Oryzias latipes: one gene and its partners. The main gene of each other region encodes a partner of the protein of the gene in region 2 in a complex. Links are inferred from orthologs where the notes say so. Each region holds a gene or a part of one and is shown on either strand. Other genes may lie near its edges.

Region 1 (8,074 bases), on a different chromosome or scaffold from region 2:
GCCAGAGGACCTAAAGGGTCCTGAGGGCTTTTCATGTAAAAACCCCTTTTCTGAGTTCGTTTTTGTACTTAAAAGTTCAAACATTGAAAGTATTTTTTTAAAAACGTGCTTTAATACCTTCAGTGGCACCTTAAGATTCACAATTAAGTAAAATAATATTTGCATTTATTCCATAGGAAAAAAAAAAATCACTTTTTATTCAAACTTTTTCAAATTCTGCTTGAACGCAGATGTTAAGCTATTTGTGCTAAAACCTTTTTTTTTCTTCTTCCCTGCAGGAAGAGGAAATCTGTTTACTACCATTTCTAAAGGTTCCAGTCACCTCCATGTGAATCATCTAATGAAGGGATTTCCTGTATAGTTTCTGGACTCTTGCCAACTTTTCATTTCTCTTCAAAGTCAAAAAAAGAACCAGTTTGTAAATTTAAAGCTGTATTTTTTCATATAAAGACTTAACAGTATTAAACATGCGCTGCTATATATACTTGTATGATGTGTAAAAAAAGATTGATGTGACCGTTCCAGTGTTTATGTGTAAACTATTGTCACATTTCTATTAAAGCATTAAATGCTATTAGAAGCTCTTTGTAGTCGGGCAGTTTAGGGTTTGATTCATTTATTAAATCCATACAGAGGTAACATGGATTACTCAAACTTCATAAATGGTTAGAGTAGAAAAAAAAAATAAAAAAATAAAACCTGGACTGAAGTAAATGCAGTACACAAACTGTTCAACTCAGGATAGATGACAAGTTAGTGCCAACATTGGGGAAAAAAACAAAACTTGATAGCAGTTAAACATGACGCTTAGCTGCAATTCTTTCTTTGGGTGTGTTATGAGGTGAAGACTTTATCAGTTATGCGTTTTATTTTCTGCTCTGGTCAGTCTGACTTCTACTCCTATCTCAGTGCTTTCAGCTTTTCCTCCAGGGTTGCAACGTTGGCACCAGAGAACTCATCCACCTGGAAAAATAAAAACATAAAAAAATGACAGAAGTTGAAAAGGTGAGATCTAATATTTGCAAACAAAAACTAGCCGTTTCTGCTACTGCAGGATGGACATTAGGGCTTCCAGGCTGGTTTAATTGTTTAAGTCAAGCTTACACAGGGCTTAAACAGGGATCACTTAAACCAGGGCACACATGGCTCTCTGGTTAAAGAAAGACAAAGAGGTTTTCCTTTTAAATAGCAAAAAAGACAAAGTAAACTTAAACTTCATTCAACTCATTCCACAACATTTGACAGACGGGACGCATCACAAGTCAAACTAAAACATTTTGGCAGATTTTTGGGCCCCATGTACCAAAGGAAATCAATTTGAGGGCAGTAAGTACACTCAATTTATAAATAGTATTTTACAAATACAAGGATTTTAAGATAACCTTATGGTTTGAAAAATACAGTAAGACTCTCTTAATGATCCCATGTGACACAGGGTCTCTTTTTTTAAAGGAAGTCATCAGAACCTCTGTAAAAAGTTATAAACTTTTCAACTACTGCACTCAGTTACTTACCTTTTTGCCCCCCTTGTAGAAGTGGAATGTAGGCATGCATTTAATTTCACAGAAACTGCTGATATCCTGAAAGAGAAAAAGCAACAGTTTTTTTTTATGAATCAAAATTAAAAAAAATAAAAATACAATTATTAAGTAATTATTGTTGCTGGCCCCCAATTGCAACCTAACGCTTTCATAAAGTAGAGAGACTAAAAACAAAAGCTGGTTTTGCCCATTAAAACAAAGCTAGTTTGTACTGGCCAAGGAGGAGAACGTGCACACTCACATCAGCCTCGTCCACATCCACCTTCAGGAAAACCACATTCTTGTTGTCATCGCTTTCCGACATTTGCTGCAAGACAACAAGTACATACAACAACAGTACATTAGACTCAACTCTACAGAAACAGAGCACTTTTACTGAAAAATCATACTGGGTGTGTGTTGGACCATTTCCTGTGAACAAGCACTTCCTCTCCTTGAAGTGGGGAGGTAAACCTTATAGGGTTGCCATAGTAACAATGCATCTACATTTAAACACCGTTTTCAATTGGTCCCCCTGTTTCTATTCGCTGGTTGGGACGGTTGACAGAGAGGGGTTGTAACTTCCGAGCTCTCCGACTAGCTTAAAGCCCATCAAACCCCCAACCTAACACTACAGGTGAAACAAAAATGGTGAGCAATATCGGAGCTATCAGGCATACAGTTTTGAGCCGGATGACAGCTCAGACGAGGAAAACAAAGACGTACATGGATCCATTTGTCTGCAAGTAGAGGCATCAGTATGGAGTGGAGCAGGGAGCTTGTGGCCTGCAGATTGTAGCTTCTACATTACAACTACAAGCTCTGTCAAAACTGTCCTTTCTTGCCTGTGACTGATTCACAATAAGAAAAAGAAGTACTCAGAAATGCATTTTTAAGCTTAAATTTCTTTATACATGTTCTCCTTTATCAGAAAATGGGCACAAAAACATGTTAAAAACATTTTCATCGGATCAAGTCTTTAAGCTCCAGTTATCTACCTTGTACAAGGGGGCAATCTGTTTGCAGGGCCCACACCATGATGCAGTAAAGTCCACAACCACCAGCTTGTCTCCAGCGTCTTCCAGAATTTTCTTGAATTCTGCCTACAAAAAAAGCATGTTTCCATCATTTATTTTAAATAAGCATAAAGGTAAAGAATTCGTTTAAATAAATTACTTCATTTTGTCAGCAGGCTTTCCCATAGTGTAACGATAAGTGGTTATCAAAGGTTTGGCTAATGATTAGCAGAACAGCCCCAGATCAAAAGCAGTCGCTGTATCTGAATTCCCACCCTAACCCCCAACTTCTAAAAAAAACTATAGAGTGCACCGACTTAAAAGCAATTTGGACACCATGCCCACTACTTTTTTTTTTAATTTACGGCGGATATGACGTCATCGATTTCACGAAGTTAAAATCTAATTGATAGGAGCATTTTGCGAGGATCATTTATCAGTCTTCTGAAGATAAAAACACTTGACAGGTTGTTCAGAAAGTACATTTAAATACATTTTTAAGCAAAAATAGATTTGATGCCATGCATTGTGATCTATATTCACAGATCTAGTGAGCATTGATGCACACTGTTTTTTTGCGGAGATTTCTGGGAAATTTGCAGGGCACTCGATTTTGGAATTGTAGAATCGGACAGCACTACAAAATGGCGAACGCACAGTGCACTTTGTAGTGATTAGTGAAGGAATTCGGACGCAACCAGTGACACCCAGAAGTCTGAATGATTTCAGCAGTTTTGACATCCAGGCATGTGTACACACGGACAGAGGCGGCCCGAGGCCTAGCGGAATGGTCCAAGTGTCGCAAATAGGAGTTGACTTTTACTCAAACTAGTACTTTATTGTAGCTTTCTGCTCATCTGAGCCATGATAGGAACGTTTTTTTGGTGTATTACTAAAAGATTTTTTATCTAGTTAACGGTAAAACCTTTCCGAAAACTTGTAACCCTGGCAACGTGTTCGCGCGGCAACAAGATAGCAAAGTCCGCCCTCGTGCATCATGGGTAGAAAATGGAAAAAAAGAAAAAACAACTAAACATTAGCAATACAGCCTCCAGAGTTATTCTGTCGGAGTAATTTATTCCATCAACGACAATAAACATGCTAACTCTAAGCGAATAAATGCTTTAACAGGGTTTTTTTTTCTTGCAAAAAAGGTAAGTAGATAGAAGCTTGCTGAGAAAATAACCGCGCGGCTACCTAACGTCAACTGTGCTGTCCTGAATGTATGTAGTAGTACAGCGAAATAAATAAAGACATGATTAATTGTATTTATAGAACTACTTACAAGATCAGCCACTTCACGGACCATGTTTGCTGTTTTGAAAAGGCAAACTCTCGCTGAATCTAAAAGACAGCGGCTTCGCAAAGACCACACTTTCAGTCAAAGAGGATGACCTGCCCTATTTATAACGGCGTCAGACTAACACGTCGCAGCGGAAGAGCTGATGGGTTGACTAACAAAATAAAAGCCAGTCTTTTATGTTTAAGCGAATCATTTATATTAAAAGAACGCCGTGTGTATACGTCATTGCCACTATGATTGTGCATGAAATGTGTTGTAACCGTACTTGATTTCATGTTGTATCAGCAGTTGTGTTATTACTGGTAAAGCTTCACGAAAAATACTTTTATTTTGAAAGTTATAAACAGAATGGTTTCCTTTCCTGGATTCTTGCAAATATTTTAGCTCTTTACTGAGAATAAAAACTACAGAATCGGTGATGTCAGGCTATATATATCTGAGGCCCGTTAGTGCTTCGTTGTTGTTTCGTTGCGGCTTAAAATAACTTGCAAAACTAATCTACTAACAATAACGCGTCCTTTTAGAGAATTATATCGATAGTAAGTTGAAATACTTTTTTTGTTTTTAATTCCGTCAACGCTTGATCAGACAGTCGAATCACAATGACTTGGCAAATTTCTGTACTACCGTAAACATGGTCACTGCAGACCATATTTCCTTGTACAAACTCTGGTCAACGCCCATGAGGCCACACCCCTGCACTAGTCTTATTACGTAATAGCTTAAAAAGACTTTATTTGTTTATTCTTTTACAACTAAAGTAAGGGGTAAACAATAAACAGAAAAGTCCATACTATAACAAAAAATTGCAATATTTAGACAAATTATTGCAGTTTGATCATGGTTGGAATAAGTTTAGGGAAGTGATTTAATCAGAAGATTAATTCTAAAAGATGGTACACAAAGACTTGTTTTTCCATTTACATATTTGAATAAAGAATTTGAGTATTTAGACTACATATGTGAATGTTCCAACAGGTTCTATCGTAAAAATAAGGAAACTTCATTTGAAGCCTAAGAATTGCCTAATTTAGACCTTAAAACATTTTTTAAAAGTATCTTTGCATAATTCCATTCTTTAAAATATGATGCAAGTTCAAATCAGTTAGGCAATGCATGCAATACCAGCATACATCAATAAAGACCAAAAACAACCTTTATTATAGAATAAACAACAATATCTGGTTACAGTTTTATCTATGTCGCTGTAAAACAAGCAAATGTCACTTTTGGATTTTTTTCCCCGTTCAGGTAGAAGCCGTGTCACAGCTGTAAGAAAACAATCTTTTTATTTACGTTTGTCCGGGAAAAAAAGAGAAAAATACTAAACAATTTAAATAAAACTACATTCTATTGAGAAATACAGACATATCTCACACATATGTATTTTAAAAATAAAATTAATTCACTAAACACTGAAAAGACAATACATATCTTGTAGTTATTTTTCAGTGCAGTATATGTAAAATCCTCCTTCATTAATTGTGTAAAGACCTTTATTGGTCATCCATCAGACAGCAACAACGGCTTTGCCAGTGTTGTCTCCTTTCAGCATCCCCTTAAAAGCAGCTGGCATGTTTTCAAAGCCTTTGGTGACGTGCTCCCGACATTGCAGTTTTCCCTGCAGAGGCGTCATGTGTGTATACAATTAATAGCAGTGACACAGAAATCTTTTCATTCCTGATTGATGCTCCACATTACCTGTTTGAACCACGCCATCAGCCTCTTGAGGCTTTCAGGATGCTTGTGTGTCCACCATCTTCAGTTGGTACAGCCCTAACAAAACACAAATACAATAGTCAGAAGAAGTACAGTCTCTGGCTCATCTGCAATGCAATAGGGCTCTCTAGTGGGATCGAAGGTTATTGCAAAATAAGTACACAGTTTATAACATTTCTGAAACAGGAAGAGTACATAAAATGCTGAATCAGAGTTTTTTTTTTTTTTTTTAAAGAACTTTATCGAACACAAACCAAAAACATCCCAAAATATGGTGGATACTAGTAGAAAGAATATAGCAATTGAAAAGGAAGCACAAACAAAATAAAATAGAGTACTTATCAATATGCATACATATACGTGCAAATACACAAGACACAAGAAAACAACAATTTCAGAGTTTAATAGTGACACCAAATGCTGGTTGGTACAACAATGACTAAATAAACCGTCTCAGATAGTATCGCTCAGAATATCATAAACTGTTATGCTTTTGGTAAATTGATTAATCTTAGGGGTTTTAAGTATAAATTGACTTCTGCATTAAAGAAGGTAATGTTGGGGTGACATTTCTGTAATTGTTTTTGTGTATAAAAAACTTGACTATTCATAAAATGGTATTGATACATAAATAAATACATTTTTGTGTAGTGATATGCCGAAAATTATGACTTCTTTTTAAAAAAAGGTTCACAATGAATGGGAATTTATTTTTCAACTATTTGTAAACATCTAACCAAAAAATGTGTACAATGCTACACAGGAAAAATATGTGGTCGGTGTCTTCAACAGCAGTTTGGCAGAAGGAACAGCTGTTGTCATCAATGTTGAAACGTAATCTAAGTAATTCTTTGGAGGGATGAATATTATTCATAATTTTGAAGTGTGTTTCTTTAACTTTTGGGAGAATAGGAAGTTTCATGAATTTGGTTCTGAATTTAGAAACAACATTTTGTTCACATTTCTGTAATATATTATTTTTGTTCTATCGTCCAGGAAATAATCTTTCAATTAACCAATTTCTGATAAAAGAGTTATTACATTTTTTTCCATAAGAGGGCATGCTTCAGTTGATAATGTGGCTAATTGTGGTTTTATCATTACATGTGTCATTGTGTTCCTTGTTAGAAATACTAATTCTCGAGAAAGAGCATTACGTACTTTTAAGAATCCTGAGATAGGAGGATTGAAGTTATGTCTTAAACACAATTGCTCATAATCTAAAAAATTGCCCTTCGTGTATATCAGATCAGTCACCGACCAAACACTTTGCCCAAACCATTCAGCACAAAACAAGGACTTGTTTCTATGGAGCATGTATTCATTGTTCCAAATAGTACTTAAGTTTGGTGATGCACATACAATATTTTCCAGTATAGCAGAATTTGTTCATGGAATTCTGATAATGCTATAGGGAGCTTATTAACATCAAAATCACTAATAAGCACACACTTTAAGCTGCCTGATTTGTTAAATAAATAATTTGGGACAAAAAACCAGAAGGATTGGTTGTGTTTGATCCACGATTTTATCTATAGGATTCCGTTACGGCAGTCAAAATTCATAACTTTGAGACCACCATCTTTAAATTCTTTGACCATATAGTTATTTTTCATGTGATGATGCTTGTTTCTCCAAATAAAGTTTAAAGTCATTTGGCAGATGGATTTTATCATTTTGTTTGGGATGGCATTAGAGTAAGATGGGTGAATACATCTTGACAAACACTCCATCTTTGTCAGATAGATCCGGCCCTGCATCGATAGGTCTCTTTGGAGCCACATATTCAACCTCATCTTACATTCATCAAGTTTTTCCCCCACATTGCTTGATTAGCTTATTTTTTGGTCTTTGTTGATGTAGATGCACAGGTATTTAATTTCTGATTTAATGGACATATGATTGATTTCTTTTACAGGTGTGTCATGAATAGCCAATACTGTAGTTCACAGTTCTTTAAGTTTAAGTTTAACCCTGATGCTTTGGAAAAGTGTTTTATTTTTTCAATAGCTGCTGTAATTTGATGCTCCTCTTTGAAAAACAGTGTTGTGTCATCTGCTAGCTGGCTAATAATGATCTCTGTGCCCAAGACATTTGACTTTTTTATCTCATTACAATTACATCAATATAAATGGCCAACATCTCAGTAGCTAATAAGAACAGATATGGGGAGATGGGACAAACTTGAGGGATTCCTACATCAACTTTGAAACTTGGGGTGGTGCCATTAGGAAGGATAACACAACTATTGATATTCTGATATGTACCATAGACAAGGTTATTAAATTTAGTGCCAAAACCAAAATTCTCCAGTACTGCCTTTATGAACGGATGTTCCACCTAGTCAAAGGCCTTGTAAAAATCCAAAAATAAAATAAAACCATTGTCTTCTATAAGATGTCAGTATTCAATAATGTCCATAACCAGTCTTTTATTATTATGAGTTGAATGGCTCTTTAAAAAGCCAGATTGTGATTCAGCAATAAGTCCTGAGAGTTCCATCTGGAGGCGAGAGG
Region 2 (8,104 bases):
TGCAATGAGACCGGTTCCATCTGTGCTGCTTGGTGTTTGCAGCAGATCACTCTGAAAACCTGGACTCTGCTGAGGAACCTGGAGGTCCTGGAACTGCTCTTCATCATGAACATAGAACGATCCGAAAACCACGCTCATCAGAACATCCTGGTCCTCGTGCTGCAGGTAGGCTGGTGAACCCCCCAGAACCTGCAGAACACCTGACATTCAGAAAACTGGAACCAAAAGACTGGTGGAACCTCTTCAGACGGGACAGGATGGTAGAAGGTTCAGCTGGAAGAAACACGCCCAACGGAGGTTATGAGGGGTTCACCAACTTTTTCATGTGGGACCAGGGAACCAAACCGCCAACCCACCCATGTGGACCATGATCTTCACAGAGCAGATCAGCTCAACTACGAAAACATCATGAACATCTGTCCAAAAATGAGGTTTTCACAAACATCTGGGTCATTGTTCTGCAGGCTCCACCCCCTGCAGAGCAGGAAGAACGTACCTGGTTAGAAGCACGGAGGTAGTGGTCGTCTCCAGCCATGGCGTCTGCAGAGATCAAAGGTTAAACCATCATCATCTGCTGAATCTGAAGCTTCTTGTCCATTGACCATGTGGGCGGTGTCAGTACACAGACCCCCTACTACACCCACACAGACGTCCAACTGAGCCCACGCATACGGCTTCCTGCAGTGAGTAAACCTATGCAGACGCCCTACTAAAGCAATAACACCCACGCAGCCGTGGTACTACACCCATGCAGACGCCTTCCTGCAGTGACTACACCCACGCAGACTCCTTACTGATGCGACTACACCCACGCAGATGGCTTCCTGCCGTGACTACACCCACGCAGACTCCCTACCAAAGCAATAACATCCACGCAGACGCTGTACTACACCACGCAGACGCCTTCCTGCAGTGACTACACCGACGCGGACTCCTTACTGATGCGACTACACCCACGCAGACGCGGTACTACACCCATGCAGACGCCTTCCTTCAGTGACTACACCCAGGCGAACTCCTTACTGATGCGACTACACCCACGCAGAGGTCCAACTGAAGCAATTACATCCACGCAGACGCTGTACTACACCACACAGACGCCTTCCTGCAGTGACTACACCTACGCGGACTCCTTACTGATGCGACTACACCCACGCAGACGCGGTACTACACCCATGCAGACGCCTTCCTTCAGTGACTACACCCAGGCGAACTCCTTACTGATGCGACTACACCCACGCAGAGGTCCAACTGAAGCAATTACATCCACGCAGACGCTGTACTACACCACACAGACGCCTTCCTGCAGTGACTACACCTACGCGGACTCCTTACTGATGCGACTACACCCACGCAGAGGTCCAACTGAAGCAATTACATCCACGCAGACGCGGTACTACACCCATGCAAACGCCTTCCTGCAGTGACTACACCCACACGGACTCCTTACTGATGCGACTTCACCCACGCAGACGTCCAACTGAAGCAATTACATCCACGCAGACGCTGTACTACACCACACAGACGCCTTCCTGCAGTGACTACACCTACGCGGACTCCTTACTGATGCGACTACACCCACGCAGAGGTCCAACTGAAGCAATTACATCCACGCAGATGCGGTACTACACCCATGCAAACGCCTTCCTGCAGTGACTACACCCATGCAAACGCCTTCCTTCAGTGACTACACCGACGCGGACTCCTTACTGATGCGACTACACCCACGCAGACGCGGTACTACACCCATGCAGACGCCTTCCTTCAGTGACTACACCCAGGCGAACTCCTTACTGATGCGACTACACCCACGCAGAGGTCCAACTGAAGCAATTACATCCACGCAGACGCTGTACTACACCACACAGACGCCTTCCTGCAGTGACTAAACCGACGCGGACTCCTTACTGATGCGACTACACCCACGCAGACGCGGTACTACACCCATGCAGACGCCTTCCTTCAGTGACTACACCCATGCAAACGCCTTCCTGCAGTGACTACACCCATGCAAACGCCTTCCTGCAGTGACTACACCCATGCAAACGCCTTCCTTCAGTGACTACACCGACGCGGACTCCTTACTGATGCGACTACACCCACGCAGACGCGGTACTACACCCATGCAGACGCCTTCCTTCAGTGACTACACCCAGGCGAACTCCTTACTGATGCGACTACACCCACGCAGAGGTCCAACTGAAGCAATTACATCCACGCAGACGCTGTACTACACCACACAGACGCCTTCCTGCAGTGACTACACCTACGCGGACTCCTTACTGATGCGACTTCACCCACGCAGACGTCCAACTGAAGCAATTACATCCACGCAGACGCTGTACTACACCACACAGACGCCTTCCTGCAGTGACTAAACCGACGCGGACTCCTTACTGATGCGACTACACCCACGCAGACGCGGTACTACACCCATGCAGACGCCTTCCTTCAGTGACTACACCCATGCAAACGCCTTCCTGCAGTGACTACACCCATGCAAACGCCTTCCTTCAGTGACTACACCCACACAGACACCTTACTGATGCGACTTCACCCACGCACACGTCCAACTGAAGCAATTACATCCACGCATACGGCTTCCTGCCGTGACTACACCCACGCAGACTCCCCACTAAAGCAATAACATTCACGCAGATGCTGTACTACACCACGCAGACGCCTTCCTGCAGTGACGACACCCACGCGGACTCCTTACTGATGCGACTACACCCACGCAGACGCGGTACTACACCCATGCAGACGTCCAACTGAAGCAATTGCATCCACGCATACGACTTCCTGCCGTGACCACACCCACGCAGACTCCCTACTAAAGCAATAATATCCACGCAGACGCTGTACTACACCACGCAGACGCCTTCCTGCAGTGACTACACCCATGCAGACTCCCTACTAAAGCAATAACATCCACGCAGACGCTGTACTACACCCACGCGAACTCCTTACTGATGTGACTACACCCACGCAGACTCCTTACTGATGTGACTACACCCACGCAGACTCCTTACTGATGCGACTACACCCACGCATACTCCTTACTGATGCGACTACACCCACGCAGACTCCTTACTGATGCGACTACACCCACGCAGACTCCTTACTGATGCGACTACACCCACGCAGACTCCTTACTGATGCAACTACACCCACGCAGAGGTCCAACTGAAGCAATAACACCCACACAGCCGTGGTACTACACCCATGCAGACGCTTTCCTGCAGTGACTACACGCAGACGTCCAACTGAAGCACTTACATCCACGCAGACGGCTTCCTGCCGTGACTACACCCATGCAGACTCCTTACTGAAGCAATTACATCCACGCAGACGCCCTACTAAAGCAATAACATCCAGGCAGACGCTGTACTACACCAAGCAGACGCCTTCCTGCAGTGACTACACCCACGCAGACTCCTTACTGATGCAACTACACCCACGCAGAGGTCCAACTGAAGCAATAACACCCACACAGCCGTGGTACTACACCCATGCAGACGCTTTCCTGCAGTGACTACACGCAGACGTCCAACTGAAGCACTTACATCCACGCAGACGGCTTCCTGCCGTGACTACACCCATGCAGACTCCTTACTGAAGCAATTACATCCACGCAGACGCCCTACTGAAGCAATTACATCCACGCAGACGCCCTACTACACCTACCTGCAGAGACTACACCCACAAGTTAAGAAGATGCTTCACCTGCCAATGTGGAGGTCTCATGACCTTTTGCATCGTGTTCTCATTGGTGATTCCAGAAGCTGCTGAGACAAGAACTTAAGCGAGGTTCTAACAGTTTGTTCTTTAATTGCAGGAACATCTGTGAAAGTGATGATGATGACAGTAGAACCTCCTCCAAACTGAAGAGGCAGAAACCGTCACCATCGACAGGTTTGAATCAACCTTCCCATAACACAGAACCCTCAAAGTTCTGTCTGGCAGTTCAAACCGAAGCAACAACAACAACAACAACAACAACAACAACACAGAGCAGCAGATAAACAAACCAGCTGCCTATTTGTAAACAGTATGGGTGGGGGCGGGGATAGTCCAGGACTTTTTTATGAAAACAAAAATGTTCCCATCCTTCGTGCCAATTATTAAAGCGTTTTTTTCAACTTCGGAATTTGGGTAGGAACATCTGATTGTGCGCGTGCCTGCTGCGCGGGAACTCGCTCAGCCTCCTGAACGCCGCGAGGCTCGTTGTTTACGTTCTTTTAGAACACATTTACACATTTGCTGTCGGTCCCACGGTGAGCCCGTGCGTGGGCTCTTCCAGTCTGACTGCTGCGTTCACGGTCCGGTCCAAACAGTCAGAGATTCCGCCACGTGTTAAACTTAAACCGCCATGAGCCGACGTTCCCTCGTTTCCGAACGTTTTCCGGTCAGATTCTTTATGGTTTGTCTTTGTTGCCGTACTGCCGCGAGCACGCGACCGTCACCTTATTAACACAATAAACTTGGAATAAAATGAGTGTATTTCTACTTTTTGCCTCTTTGTTGTGGTAAAGTCCGCGCGCGAAAACGAATGTCCGAAGAACAAGGAAGTGAAAGGAAGTGGCGTGGTCTGTTCTGACCCGGTTCTTACCTGTTCAGCTCAGGTGAACGTCCGCAGGTGAGGGTTCTCGTGCCGCTTCACCTCAGGGGCTCTCGCTCATTTTTTTGTTTTTTTTGTTTATTATTCTGTCGGAGCGAATTTCTGCCTTTTTTAACGGCTATGCGTCATCACACGACACGAGCGCGTGCCTGCAGCTTCTAACAGCTAAAACGAAGAAACAAATGTGCGCGAGAGAGTGACGTATTGGAGAGCGCGAGCGCAGGTGACAGGGCGCGCGCTAAAGTGAGAATAAAGCAACTTCCTTCCTCTTGGAAATTCCCCGTGACGTAAAAGGAAACAGAGAGCGCGGTAAAACGAGGAGGTGTCACTCTGAGCGCAAAAGCGAAAATGTCCCCAAAAACTTTTCTGCGACACAAACCAAAGAGACGCGCGGAGGATCCACAAACAGAACCAGAACAACAAGACAAACCGAAACCATCAACAGGATCCAGAAAGAGGAAGAATGTAATGTTAGAGACAGATCAGGATTTCCTTTTTAAAAACACACCAACCATATTTATAGACGGGATAGAATTTAAGCTATGGTGTTAATTTCAGGTTCTTAAATGGTTTATTTTTTATCTTCAGTGAGCCGGGAATATTTTTAAAATGTAAGGATTACTGAGGGGAAGAACAAACTAAATATCTGTGCGGACTCTCCTTCATTCTGGATGGATCCACAGCAAAGAAGGTTTCAAAGGAGAAAACATCTTCAGCTTAAATGATGTCCAGACAAGCCTGTAAAGCAAAATACCTTTTCCTGAAACAGATTCAACCCTGAAGGATATTTGTACGAAAAGGTAATGTAGGCTCTGGGTGGTCAGGAGAAACTCCCAGATGAGGCAGGTAGGAGTGTACTTGGTCATCAGGACGGAAGGATGACAGGAGAGTTGGTGGTGGAATGAGGAGGTGCAGGAGTTTCTACAGACTAAAGGCCCGTACACACCGGGACGAATATTCGCCAGGCGTTATTCGCCAGCGTTTTTCGCCACGTTTTTTGTGTTCACACCCAGGCGATTTTCGCTGACGATGAGCCGAGCGAACATGCAATTTCATTCCCTGACGTTAGATGGCGCTTAATGTAAAACAGAAATACTCCTGTACACAAGGTGGCGCTGCGCAACTTTACGATTCTTAAAGTCGCTTTTCACTCTGAAAAAGAGAGCAAGTATTTACGCGCTAGTCAGAATAATACAAAGAAAACATGAATATTTCAAGCACCAGTAGCTCCAACTGGTGCTTGGTAAGGGGATATTTTAGAATGTCCGTCATTATTTCTTTGCGGCAGTGTTGACGCTACTTGGCGTCTAACTTCTTCGCTGGTATGTGTGCTCAGCAAGGCAGTTTTGTGTTTGAGCGCCCCCAAGTTGTGTTTTACTGTAACTTCAGAAGCTCCAGACACGTGAGCAAAAGCGCCATTCTCATTGGTCGAATAGATTTCGACGAGACGCGTCGGAAAAAAAAAACGAACCCGAGGCGTTTTTTTTTTTTGACGCTTTGGCGCTTGGCGTTTTTTCGCGTCGGTGTGCACACTCACATTGGTGCCCTTTGTTTAGTCACGAGGCGTTAAACGTCGGCGAAAATCGCCGGCGAAATTCGTCCCGGTGTGAACGGGCCTTTAAGAGGGAGAGACTGACCTGTACAGATGAGCAAGGCAGAGAGAGTGAGAAAGGAAGGGCATGCAGCAGGTTAGAGTGGCTAAGGGTTGGGATGGTTACAGATTGACAGGTGTCAGAGAAGACTTTGAAGAGTTGAAGGAAAACGCCTTCCTTCTGAAGGAATCTTTTCTGGATTGAGCTGGGCATGAGCGGCCCATCAGCTGACATGGTGTCTGTCACGTGAGTCTGGTGGGTCCAGGTGGATCCTGGTGGGTGCAGGTGGATCCTGGTTGGTCCTGGTGGATCCTGGTGGAATCCGGGTGGGTCCAGGTGGATCCTGGTGGGTCCTGGTGGGTCCTGGTGGAATCCGGGTGGGTCCAGGTGGATCCTGGTTGGTCCAGGTGGATCCTGGTTGGTCCTGGTTGGTCCAGGTGGATCCTGGTTGGTCCAGGTGGATCCTGGTTGGTCCAGGTGGATCCTGGTTGGTCCAGGTGGATCCTGGTTGGTCCTGGTTGGTCCAGGTGGATCCTGGTTGGTCCAGGTGGATCCTGGTTGGTCCAGGTGGATCCTGGTTGGTCCTGGTGGATCCTGGTTGGTCCAGGTGGATCCTGGTTGGTCCTGGTGGATCCTGGTTGGTCCAGGTGGATCCTGGTTGGTCCAGGTGGATCCTGGTTGGTCCAGGTGGATCCTGGTTGGTCCAGGTGGATCCTGCCATGGTCTGGAACTCAGCAACAAACTAACAAACCACCACTGTTTAGTATTTCTTTTAATGTGATTTCACACACAGAAATTCTGCAGAGAAATGTCTACAACACCAACATTCCACTTTAGTGATGACGACGTTCAGCATGAGTCCAAACATCTCATCTAGGAGAATCTGGGAAACAATTAGTGCAATTTACAGTTTAACCATCACAGCTGAAAATAAAAACAGCGTCTGTGTGCAGAAATATCCACGTCATCTAAGACCGTAAGTACAAACATTAAAACATCTGCAGGATGTTCTGAGGCACGAGAGCGGCACCACACACATCATCGCGACACACTGAAGCGAGGCTCCACCCACCGGCAGCCTGAGGGGGCGGAGCCACACACTCACAACAGAGGTGAAAGCAGAGATAAAAGCAGCAACATCACAAAGTGAACGGCAGTGTCAATATGAAGAGGAGCCCCCGACTGCACTATGACTGAAAATCACTAATGCTTTTTGTGTCTTTGTTTCCACACAATTTAACACAAATATCTTCAGGATTTTCACTAAATCAGATTTAAACTTGAAAGAGTTGTGAATATGGTGCAGGAGCTAGGACCTGGGGGGCAGCTGGTCTCCTTACTGTAGATAAAAACTTAACTGTAAAATCCCAAAGACGACATTAATGCGGAGAAAAAACGATTAGTGTGTGCTTCCTGTCTGCGCCCCCCCATGAGCACCCTCTGTAATGTGAACCCCCAACAGCTGTGCAGGCATGATGGGAAAAGAAAGGCATCTACTGGTGATGGCTGCAGGCATCTGACTGCAGGCAGGAGGGAAGCACTACAGAGCTTCAGCCACGATGACGTCTCATCTACAGGGAAGCCGCTCACTGCCGCCCCCTGTTGTCCAAACGCAGGCAGAGCTCACGCTGGTCCAACAAACGAGCTCTGAGGCTTTGACACAACACTCCCACCTCCAGAGGAGCACAGGACTTCAAACTGTGGTGGTCAGCACCAAAACGTCGCAACTGCTTTACCAAAACCCAAGATTACAGCCAGAACAGTCACAACACTCCAAGGAACCACGAAGAAAAGCTTTGATAGAATCCGTCCTAAGAGAGACGCGTCTTCTGCAGGCAGGCCAATGCCAGTGAAACCAGGAGACCACCTGGAATTTAAAGACCCTCTAATG
Region 3 (8,081 bases), on a different chromosome or scaffold from region 2:
CTGTTTTGCACATTCAGCTGAGAATAACTGTTCAAAAGAGACTTTCATGAGCTAAACAGTGTGGTACGCATGGATGTTGTTAAATATTAAGATGTAAGAATTGAAAAAATAAACAATGAGTATGCGCAAAGGGGCTGTTTGTTGTTCCAGACTCCTGTCAGCTGTTAAGGAGTCTGATGGCAGAGGGAAAGAACGAGTTCCTGAGTCCTGTAGTCCTGCACTTCACACTCGTGTACCTCCGTCCCGAGGGGAGGAGAGTGCACAGATCTCGTTGCAGTTGGGTGGGGTCCTTGATGATGGAGGAAGTTCTCCTGTGGATCCTGCGTTTGTAGATGCTCTGAAGCGAGGGCAAAGGCGTCCTGGTGATCTTAGTCGCAGTCTTTACCACTCTCTGCAGGCATTTGCAGTCCATGGCAGTAGAGCTGCCGTACCACACTGTGATGCAGCTGGTCAAGATGGACTGTAGAAGTTGCTGAGGATCTTTGTGGACATGCCGAACTTCCTTAGCCTCCTCAGGATGTACAGCCGCTTATGAGCTTTCTTCATCAGCTGTGTGGTGTTAACTGTCCAGGTGAGGTCCTGGCTGGGGTGGACCCCCAGGTATTTAAAGCTGCTCACCCTCTCCACTTCCAGACCCCGGATAAGCAGCAGCTGATGAGGGTTCCTCTACTTCCTCATGTCCACTATCATTTCCTATGTCTTGTCTGTGTTGAGGGTGAGGTTGTTGTCCTTACACCATGTCACCAAAGTGGCCACCTCTCTCTTGGAGGCTGCTTCGTACACTAGTAAATTTCTTATCAGCTTACAGAATTGTTTTCAAAAATTGAACACATCACAAATTACGTGTACAAACTAAAAGTAAAATAATGTATTGAATGTTAATAGTTGATTTACTGATTGTGCAACTTTCTTCCAATATTTATCATCTATAAAAGTGTGCCAGTCCTTGGATCAAACCACCTTTCTCCATCAGCTGGGGACACCGAAGCAAAGCTGTGAGGTTAGTGCTGATAGACATTCAGCCAGGAGGGAATTTGATCTTCCCATTGTTTCAACTGAACTTCCTGTTTGCGGCAGTGTTGGAGGACTTTGGGCACGTGGGACGTGATTCTACATTCTGTTCTCTGGTTGTGAGCTGCATGTATGCACTGTCACTGTGGGTAAAAATAGCTTTCCTGAAAGCCGTGACAGCATGAATTTGGTCACAGAGGGGAGGGGTCACATGGTCTTCTTAAGGCACCAGTCTCAATATAAGCTCACAAAGCACAGACACACAAGCCTTCATACAAACTCAAGAGGATAAAGAAACTTTTCTGAAAGGGAACTTGTGCTCCACTGGAACATGGGTACGCGTGGATCCAAACCCAAGAAACAAGCGCAGGTCTTGATGCTGGGTCTGGACGGCTCAGGGAAGACAACACTGCTCTACAAACTGAAATACAACGAGAGCGTGGTAACTGTACGGACGGTGGGTTTTAATGTGGAAACCCTGGAAACCGACAGGAGCAGTCCAGAACTGACAGTGTGGGATGTTGGGGGTCAGAGGAAGATGAGGCCCCACTGGAAGCATTACTATCCTGACACCGCTGGCTTGATGTTTGTGGTGGACAGCTGGGATGAGAAGAGGCAGGATGAGGCCTGCAAGGAACTCCATCGGGTATTTCAGTTCATGTCTAACCTTGATCAGAAAAAAAATACAAGTGTTCCTATGTATATATGCATTTTTATTGTTTCTGAAGCAGTGAATGCAATACTAAAAAACAATTATTCCGAAACAAGTTAAAAAAAAAAATCTACAAACTATTCATCAAAAAAAGGGAACAAAATAAAAATCTTGATTTTGTTGATTTTAATAATTTTATTATTATTCTTTTTACCTTTTAGGTTCTGAGACACAAAAGTCTTAAAGAAGTTCCTCTTGTAATTCTGGCCAACAAACAGGATCTCCCTGGTTGCTGGAGTCCAGAAGCCCTCAGCCTGAAACTGGACCTGAGAAGGGTGTGTGCTGGAAGGGCGTGGTTCATTCAGCCCTGCTCAGCCGTCACTGGGATGGGGCTTGAGGAGGGTTTCAGGAGAATGGTGTATTTGATGAAGACTCCACTGAGGCAGACTCAAGAGCACATCAAGTTAACGATGAAAGCAAAAGGCTTGAAGTTCACATCAGCAAAAAAAGTCTTTTTTTGTTGCAGCTGATATCTCTTTTGTTCATGCTGGATTTACTTTTGTCTTCTTATGCTGCGTATTTGCAGACAGCAAAGCGGATGCATCTATGAGCTCAAAGAGGTTAGGGAGAAGGGCGGCTTCCCAGAAATCATGGAACAAGCAGAAGATCTGCTGGGAATAAGAAAATAAGAAACCAAGAGCATTAAGGGAAAGCTTTTGGGTTTTGAGGATATACATTTATATATAGATATATAAATAGATATCTATATATCTATCTATCTATATATATAGATAGATAGATATATGATATATATATTTTTATTCAAAATGTGTTTGTCTTCTGAAACAAAATGATATTGATTTAATGACTTGTACCAAATCAGTGAGAACTTAACCCTTGTGCTTTCCTGTGGGGTCCAGATGACCCGATCCTTACATTGACGTGTTCTTCCTACCATGACAAAGGTGGATTAAGGTGAATAGGATTTCATGTAATCCATGGACACCAGTGAAATCATTGAAGAAAAAATGTTCAGCGCACTGTCTTGTGGGGTCTAGATGACCCAACTCCCAATGTTAAAGTGACTCAGATAGCACAAAGGTTACAGCAGATTTATTAGTTCCCAAATGAATAAAGTAAATCTCTCATGTTGATGTTTTTTTTAATATTGGAACTTCAAATAAATGTAATTTTTATGAAGATTTTGGGTTTAAGGTGTTAAATATAAATATTCATAAAATATTATGGAAAAGTATAGTCATTTCCATGATTCCATTGAAAACATTGTCCAGATTAAAATAGTTTAAAACATCCGTGCCCCGCAGAATTTGGACAGATTTCACCACAGTATTCAGATTTACTAAAAGTTTGTTTTCGTGGTTTTAATGAGGTGGAACCCAAATTTATGTAAAAATAAATAAATATTAGAAATCAATTAAACAGTACACTATATTCAATTTTTAGATCTAATTATCCAAATGAATAGACTTTTCCATGATGCTCTATTTTTAAAATGGTATTCAATAAAAATCGTGATACTACTGATAATTTTGTAGTTGTAATATCGAATATAATGGCAACATGGTGTGAAACTGGGAATTACATTTTTAGCATTGTATTGTAGAGAAAAAAGACAGTTCTCCGATCTAGAATGCCTTACTTCTTAATACTATGCCAAAATTGAGCAATCCTATTCCCTTTTTTTATTCAGATTTTGACTGCCTTATGAGAAATAGCATAAACTAATTCATTATATATATATATATATATATATATATATATATATATATATATATATATATATATATATATATATATATATATATATATATATATATATATATATATTATATAATATAGTATAATAGTACATAGTATAATATATAATATATATATATCTAATATATATATAATTTTATTATAATAAAAAGAATTTAGAATTTTACAATTCCCTAATGAAAACTCCTTAAGAAATGATGCGACATGGATAGGGTTTTAGTGAAATGACATATTTAAGTTTAGGTGATCACGAATCAAACGTCTGCCTTCCTAAACATGAGCAGACGTGAGTCGGTATAATGCGGTGTCTTCTGCACACAGACGTGAGCGGTGAAACCAATGAGAGTGAGGGGGATTTCCCCACCCTTCCCTTACGCCAGAGCGAGGCTGCCCTCTACCACCGGCATTCCCAGTATGCACCGCGGACCGAGCAGCAAAAAATAGTCCACTAACGAAAGACTGCGAAAAGGGAACCAGAAACAGATAGCTTACCGGCTAAAACTCTGTCCAGTAATATTTAACGTAATCAGAACTACTAACATGGCCGACAACGAGAAACTGGACAACCAGCGACTAAAGAATTTCAAGAACAAGGGCCGAGATTTGGAGGTAAAAGTTGCGAAGATCGGTGTCCTCGCTTTCGTCTGCACAGCCGCCGCGCTCAGCCTTGCCCCTCGGCTCCGTTGTGACGTCGTTTCTAATTTACACCACGGGCAACTTTGCTGCCAGAAACTGGCGAGGGCCTTCAGAAATCAGTGTTTATTGGAGGCTGGAATCGTTGGGTCAATTTCGAACTGGTTTCGTTTTATCCCGAAACCGTGTTGGGTGTAAAACATGTCAGAAAAGCCTCCGCTGGATCAGCTCTGCTAGCCACCAGCTAGCAAGGCCTCCGGGAACATGCTAACTCCACTGATGCATATCATCCCCCAGTTCGGTCTCGCTCGGTCAGAAATGTTAACAGCTTGCATACAATTATTTACAAAGTACTTTTACGTTATCTTCTGAGAATGTGGTGTTAAGTTAAGCTAAAACAACGACAGATGTTCGTACTTCTAACATTGCAGTTAGCCCAACTGCGTGCTAGGTTAGCGCGGCGGTGCTGTTGGCTGCAGTTCCACCCATCCCCCGTCTTTATAATCAAAAACAATGGCGGAAACAAGTAAGCTTCTAACATGACCACTTATATTAGGCTCAAGTCCACACCAATAGTAATATAGTTCTATTTTATGCGTTAATAGGACGTATTCTCAGGAGAGCAGTCTCCCCTTAACACGTTTACTACATGATTCATAGATCAAAGCTGGACGTTGGTTCATCATGTCGGATCAATAAGTTACCAGGTGATTTACAGTCAGGTCAACGCGTAGCTGTTAATGCATTCCAGCTAGTATTGATATCGGTTTCAGGTGGGGTTGCAGACGCAGGAAACCACGCATCCTGTTTGAGAAGGTACATATATGTTGCGAGGGGGGCGTCGATGATTGTTACGTTAATTATTCGACTTTCAACTCGAGAACCGCGCGTGAAATTCGTTTCTCCAATGATAAACTTTAAGCATCAACACCAAGGTTCAATACTTAATGTAAATAACTTCTAATGCATGCAAAGGTTCACGAGGAATTGAGTCAACAAACATTGTCAATTTGCATTTACTTTGCCTCCACTGTGTGCATCTGACGTAGAATTGTTTCAGAGGGCGGCGGCCACGTGGGACAGTAAAGCTGCACCTTTACCGTGAATAGAAACACATCTAATGTCACATCATGCACTGCAACCTGTAGACATATCCGCTTCTGAAATAAATTTGGCTTGATGTAATTACTAAGCTGGTAGCTGAGGGAGGAAGTGCGTGCGATTTTCAAGATGTTTTTAGTGGGTTACCAGATCACTTCTCTCATTCATAGTTCTATTTTAAGTCATCTCTGTCATATGACATTAATATGTTTACTATTTTTGGTCAGTGTTATCACTAATAAAACAACTGACTGTGTGGACACAATTGAGACATAACTGGTCATAGTGAGGATCCTAACAAACTATGGTTTTAATATTTGCAACAGGTTTTGCTTGACTAGAAATCGAATAAAGTAATGGGTAGATGAATAATCTTGTATAGGAAAACCCTAAAAGTGATCCTTAAGGTCTTCTTCCAGTCATGTTGTTTTGTTGTAACTATTAACCTGCTTTTTCTTTTTTATTGAAAAAGCTTGCTATACTACCATTTCCTAAAAATGCAGTTCCCATTTTTGCCATTTTACTTTTTTTTCTTTTTGCATATGATACAAATATGTCAAAAAAGAACAATGAAACCTGAAAATGTAAAAATGATGTATCGGTCAGGTACTGTAGTTCTTAAAGCTGAGTTACATTTAGTCAGACTTGTGATACTCATTTGTAGTTGCAGACCTCTGCTTTATAGATGCTGTAGACTTAATGCCCAGACGACCTGCATCATCAATACCCGAATATACACAGTACCCTGATATTCTCATTTATTTCTCTAAATTTGTTTGGAAGGTTGAAATTTCCTAATTTAACTAAATTTAATATTTTCCTTGCAGACGATGAGAAGACAAAGGACTGAGGTTGTCGTGGAACTTCGAAAGGTAAATAAACTCTTTACTTAAGCCATTATTTAATTAATATTGCAGAATGCTCTCAGAATTGAATATTCAGCTATATTTTATATATACTTTGCAGTAACATAAATGGATGATTAGTGAAGTGAGCTCACTAACTTTTTCATTACAGAACAAAAGGGACGAGCATCTGCTGAAGAGGAGAAATGTTCCCCACGAGGACCTCTGTGAGGACTCTGATCTTGATGGAGATTTCAGATCAGTGAGTTTATCTTTCAAATATTCCTTTTTTACACCATTATTCAGAAAAACCATATATTGCATGTTTGAATTGCAATACTACTATTAGCAACAGGGATGACAGCTTGTCAGATATGGTATAGACTGAATTTGTACTGAGATTTTGTACATTTTTGGAAAGTCTTCAGATGCTGAGCAGGTTAGGTTTAGACTTTTGCATTTAGGATGCTGCTTTATTTTGTACTGACTAGGTGGGGCAAGATTGTTTCAAAGTGTGCAGTTTGTCTTGCTATGTACTCATTTTTCTTGATCAATGTGCACAAAAGCTTCAGTTGTTGCTCAAGATACTTACAGGCACAAAGAATGAAGCATTTCTAGATATTTTAGAGGCGCTATAAAGACAATAGATGGGTGACAGATGAAAATCTAGAAAATGTCTTAAAGCTGAACTAAGTGTGTTTGATCTGGATTCAGATGACAGAAAATTTAGACTGTTGGATAAAACATGCATTGAAGTGTTCAGTCTAGAGAAAAAAATCTGGTTCCTTTTAACAGCCAGGTGTATAAAGCTCAATTCACAGGGTGATACTTGTATCATAGTGCATCAGCAATGACAAGACGATCTCTGAATGGCATCTGGAGTTACTTGGCAGCTAAACTAGTTCTACAATTCTTTGTGTGCATACTTATAAGAAATCGATTTATTTTTATGAGTATTCACAAACAGTGAAATACAAATGTGTGTGTTGGTGATTTGTAATGGCCATTCAGTTTGTAAAAGATTCAGTGTAAATGCTTAATAGACCGGAGTTTGACTGTTTAAAAAAACACATTCCAACTGTAAAGGATTTCATTTGTTTTCTTGCCTGAGGAGCTTCTGTTGTCGTCACCAGTTCCAACCAGGCCATTTTGAGTGCTCGTTTTCAAACCTACATAATGATATCTGGTATATAGCACAGTTTTATTATAGATATAAAAGATACAACTGGCAGTTTAATAATTTCCCACAACCATCAAATGGAGTCACAAATATAAACTTTCTTTTTACCCAATAATTTTATTTTATTTTGTTATTTATCTCCAAATCGACTGCTAATTGTCCTCAGTGTTGACAATTTGGACTAAATCGAAGGAATCTGGTGGGTTTTTTTCTTTTTCTCTGCCATCAGCCAGGCTAACTCCCAATTAGGTTCCTATTCAGAAACAGTCTGAACTACTTATGGAGTTATCATGTTAAGTTGCCAGAAGGCACATTGCCATGCTAAATACTGGCCTCGTGTCTTAACCTCCTGACTGATTCTCAACACATTTTCGGGTTAAGTAACCAAGCTCATTTTCTGCTCTGGTTAGTTTGTTTTTGAATCATAAGACTATTTGAGCAAGGTTTCTGTGTTTTAAGAGCTTTATGCACCAAATATGAAACATAATTCAAATGCAATAACTCCAGGAAACTTTCTTTTGCAGCAAAACACCTCTCTTGAAGCAATAGTACAAGTAAGTCACTATTTAATTTCTCCTTTGGAATTTATGGTCTTGCTAACGGAATTTTGTTGTCCTTATTACCAGTTTTATAAAGCACGTATTTATTCAGTTTCACTGACTAATCATCTTGTTTCCTTTGATATATAGAATGCCACTAGTGACAACCAGGGTGTCCAGCTGAGTGCTGTTCAGGCTGCTAGGTAAACACACTTTAGTTTGTAGTTTTTGTTTGTACTTTAACCAAAACAAAAGTCTTAGTATTTTTTGCTCTGTGGAGCAAATGGTGGACTCATTTGAAAACATCCATAGTTGCAATATACGTCATTGTCCTAAAGACT

What was found.
Region 1: the proteins of nfkb1 (region 2) and txn are in contact, whole or in part, in an NMR structure (PDB 1MDI), measured with the Homo sapiens proteins. The link is inferred for Oryzias latipes from reciprocal best matches to the Homo sapiens genes NFKB1 and TXN. Residues at the interface, in NP_001158884.1 of Homo sapiens: Arg56, Phe57, Arg58, Tyr59, Val60, Cys61, Glu62, Gly63, Pro64; in NP_003320.2 of Homo sapiens: Thr30, Trp31, Cys32, Pro34, Met37, Ile38, Asp58, Val59, Asp60, Asp61, Gln63, Ala66, Ser67, Val71, Lys72, Pro75, Ser90, Gly91, Ala92.
Region 3: the proteins of nfkb1 (region 2) and kpna4 are in contact, whole or in part, in a crystal structure (PDB 7LFC), measured with the Homo sapiens proteins. The link is inferred for Oryzias latipes from reciprocal best matches to the Homo sapiens genes NFKB1 and KPNA4. Residues at the interface, in NP_001158884.1 of Homo sapiens: Glu357, Glu358, Val359, Gln360, Arg361, Lys362, Arg363, Gln364, Lys365, Leu366, Met367; in NP_002259.1 of Homo sapiens: Arg96, Lys97, Leu99, Ser100, Ser101, Asp102, Arg103, Pro105, Phe133, Trp137, Thr140, Asn141, Ala143, Ser144, Gly145, Thr146, Ser147, Thr150, Gln176, Trp179, Gly182, Asn183, Gly186, Asp187, Asn219, Trp222, Val225, Asn226, Arg229, His230.

Annotation. Positions count from the first base shown.
Region 1 is NC_019876.2:18,249,085-18,257,158, forward strand, and holds txn (thioredoxin), read right to left. Parts: upstream 4,043-8,074; 5' UTR 3,846-4,042; coding exon 3,822-3,845; intron 2,624-3,821; coding exon 2,519-2,623; intron 1,849-2,518; coding exon 1,783-1,848; intron 1,581-1,782; coding exon 1,515-1,580; intron 964-1,514; coding exon 901-963; 3' UTR 600-900; downstream 1-599. Other genes in the region: svep1 (sushi, von Willebrand factor type A, EGF and pentraxin domain-containing protein 1), read left to right, coding at 279-309. UniProt on the Homo sapiens protein: Participates in various redox reactions through the reversible oxidation of its active center dithiol to a disulfide and catalyzes dithiol-disulfide exchange reactions.
Region 2 is NC_019868.2:30,823,417-30,831,520, reverse strand, and holds the start of nfkb1 (nuclear factor NF-kappa-B p105 subunit), read right to left. Parts: upstream 4,868-8,104; 5' UTR 4,613-4,867; intron 3,707-4,612; exon of another isoform or gene 3,688-3,706; intron 541-3,687; 5' UTR 536-540; coding exon 497-535; intron 1-496.
Region 3 is NC_019871.2:13,521,091-13,529,171, reverse strand, and holds the start of kpna4 (importin subunit alpha-3), read left to right. Parts: upstream 1-3,820; 5' UTR 3,821-3,982; coding exon 3,983-4,051; intron 4,052-6,003; coding exon 6,004-6,048; intron 6,049-6,193; coding exon 6,194-6,283; intron 6,284-7,725; coding exon 7,726-7,755; intron 7,756-7,890; coding exon 7,891-7,943; intron 7,944-8,081. Other genes in the region: arl14 (ADP-ribosylation factor-like protein 14), read left to right, coding at 1,343-1,657, 1,885-2,193. UniProt on the Homo sapiens protein: Functions in nuclear protein import as an adapter protein for nuclear receptor KPNB1. Binds specifically and directly to substrates containing either a simple or bipartite NLS motif.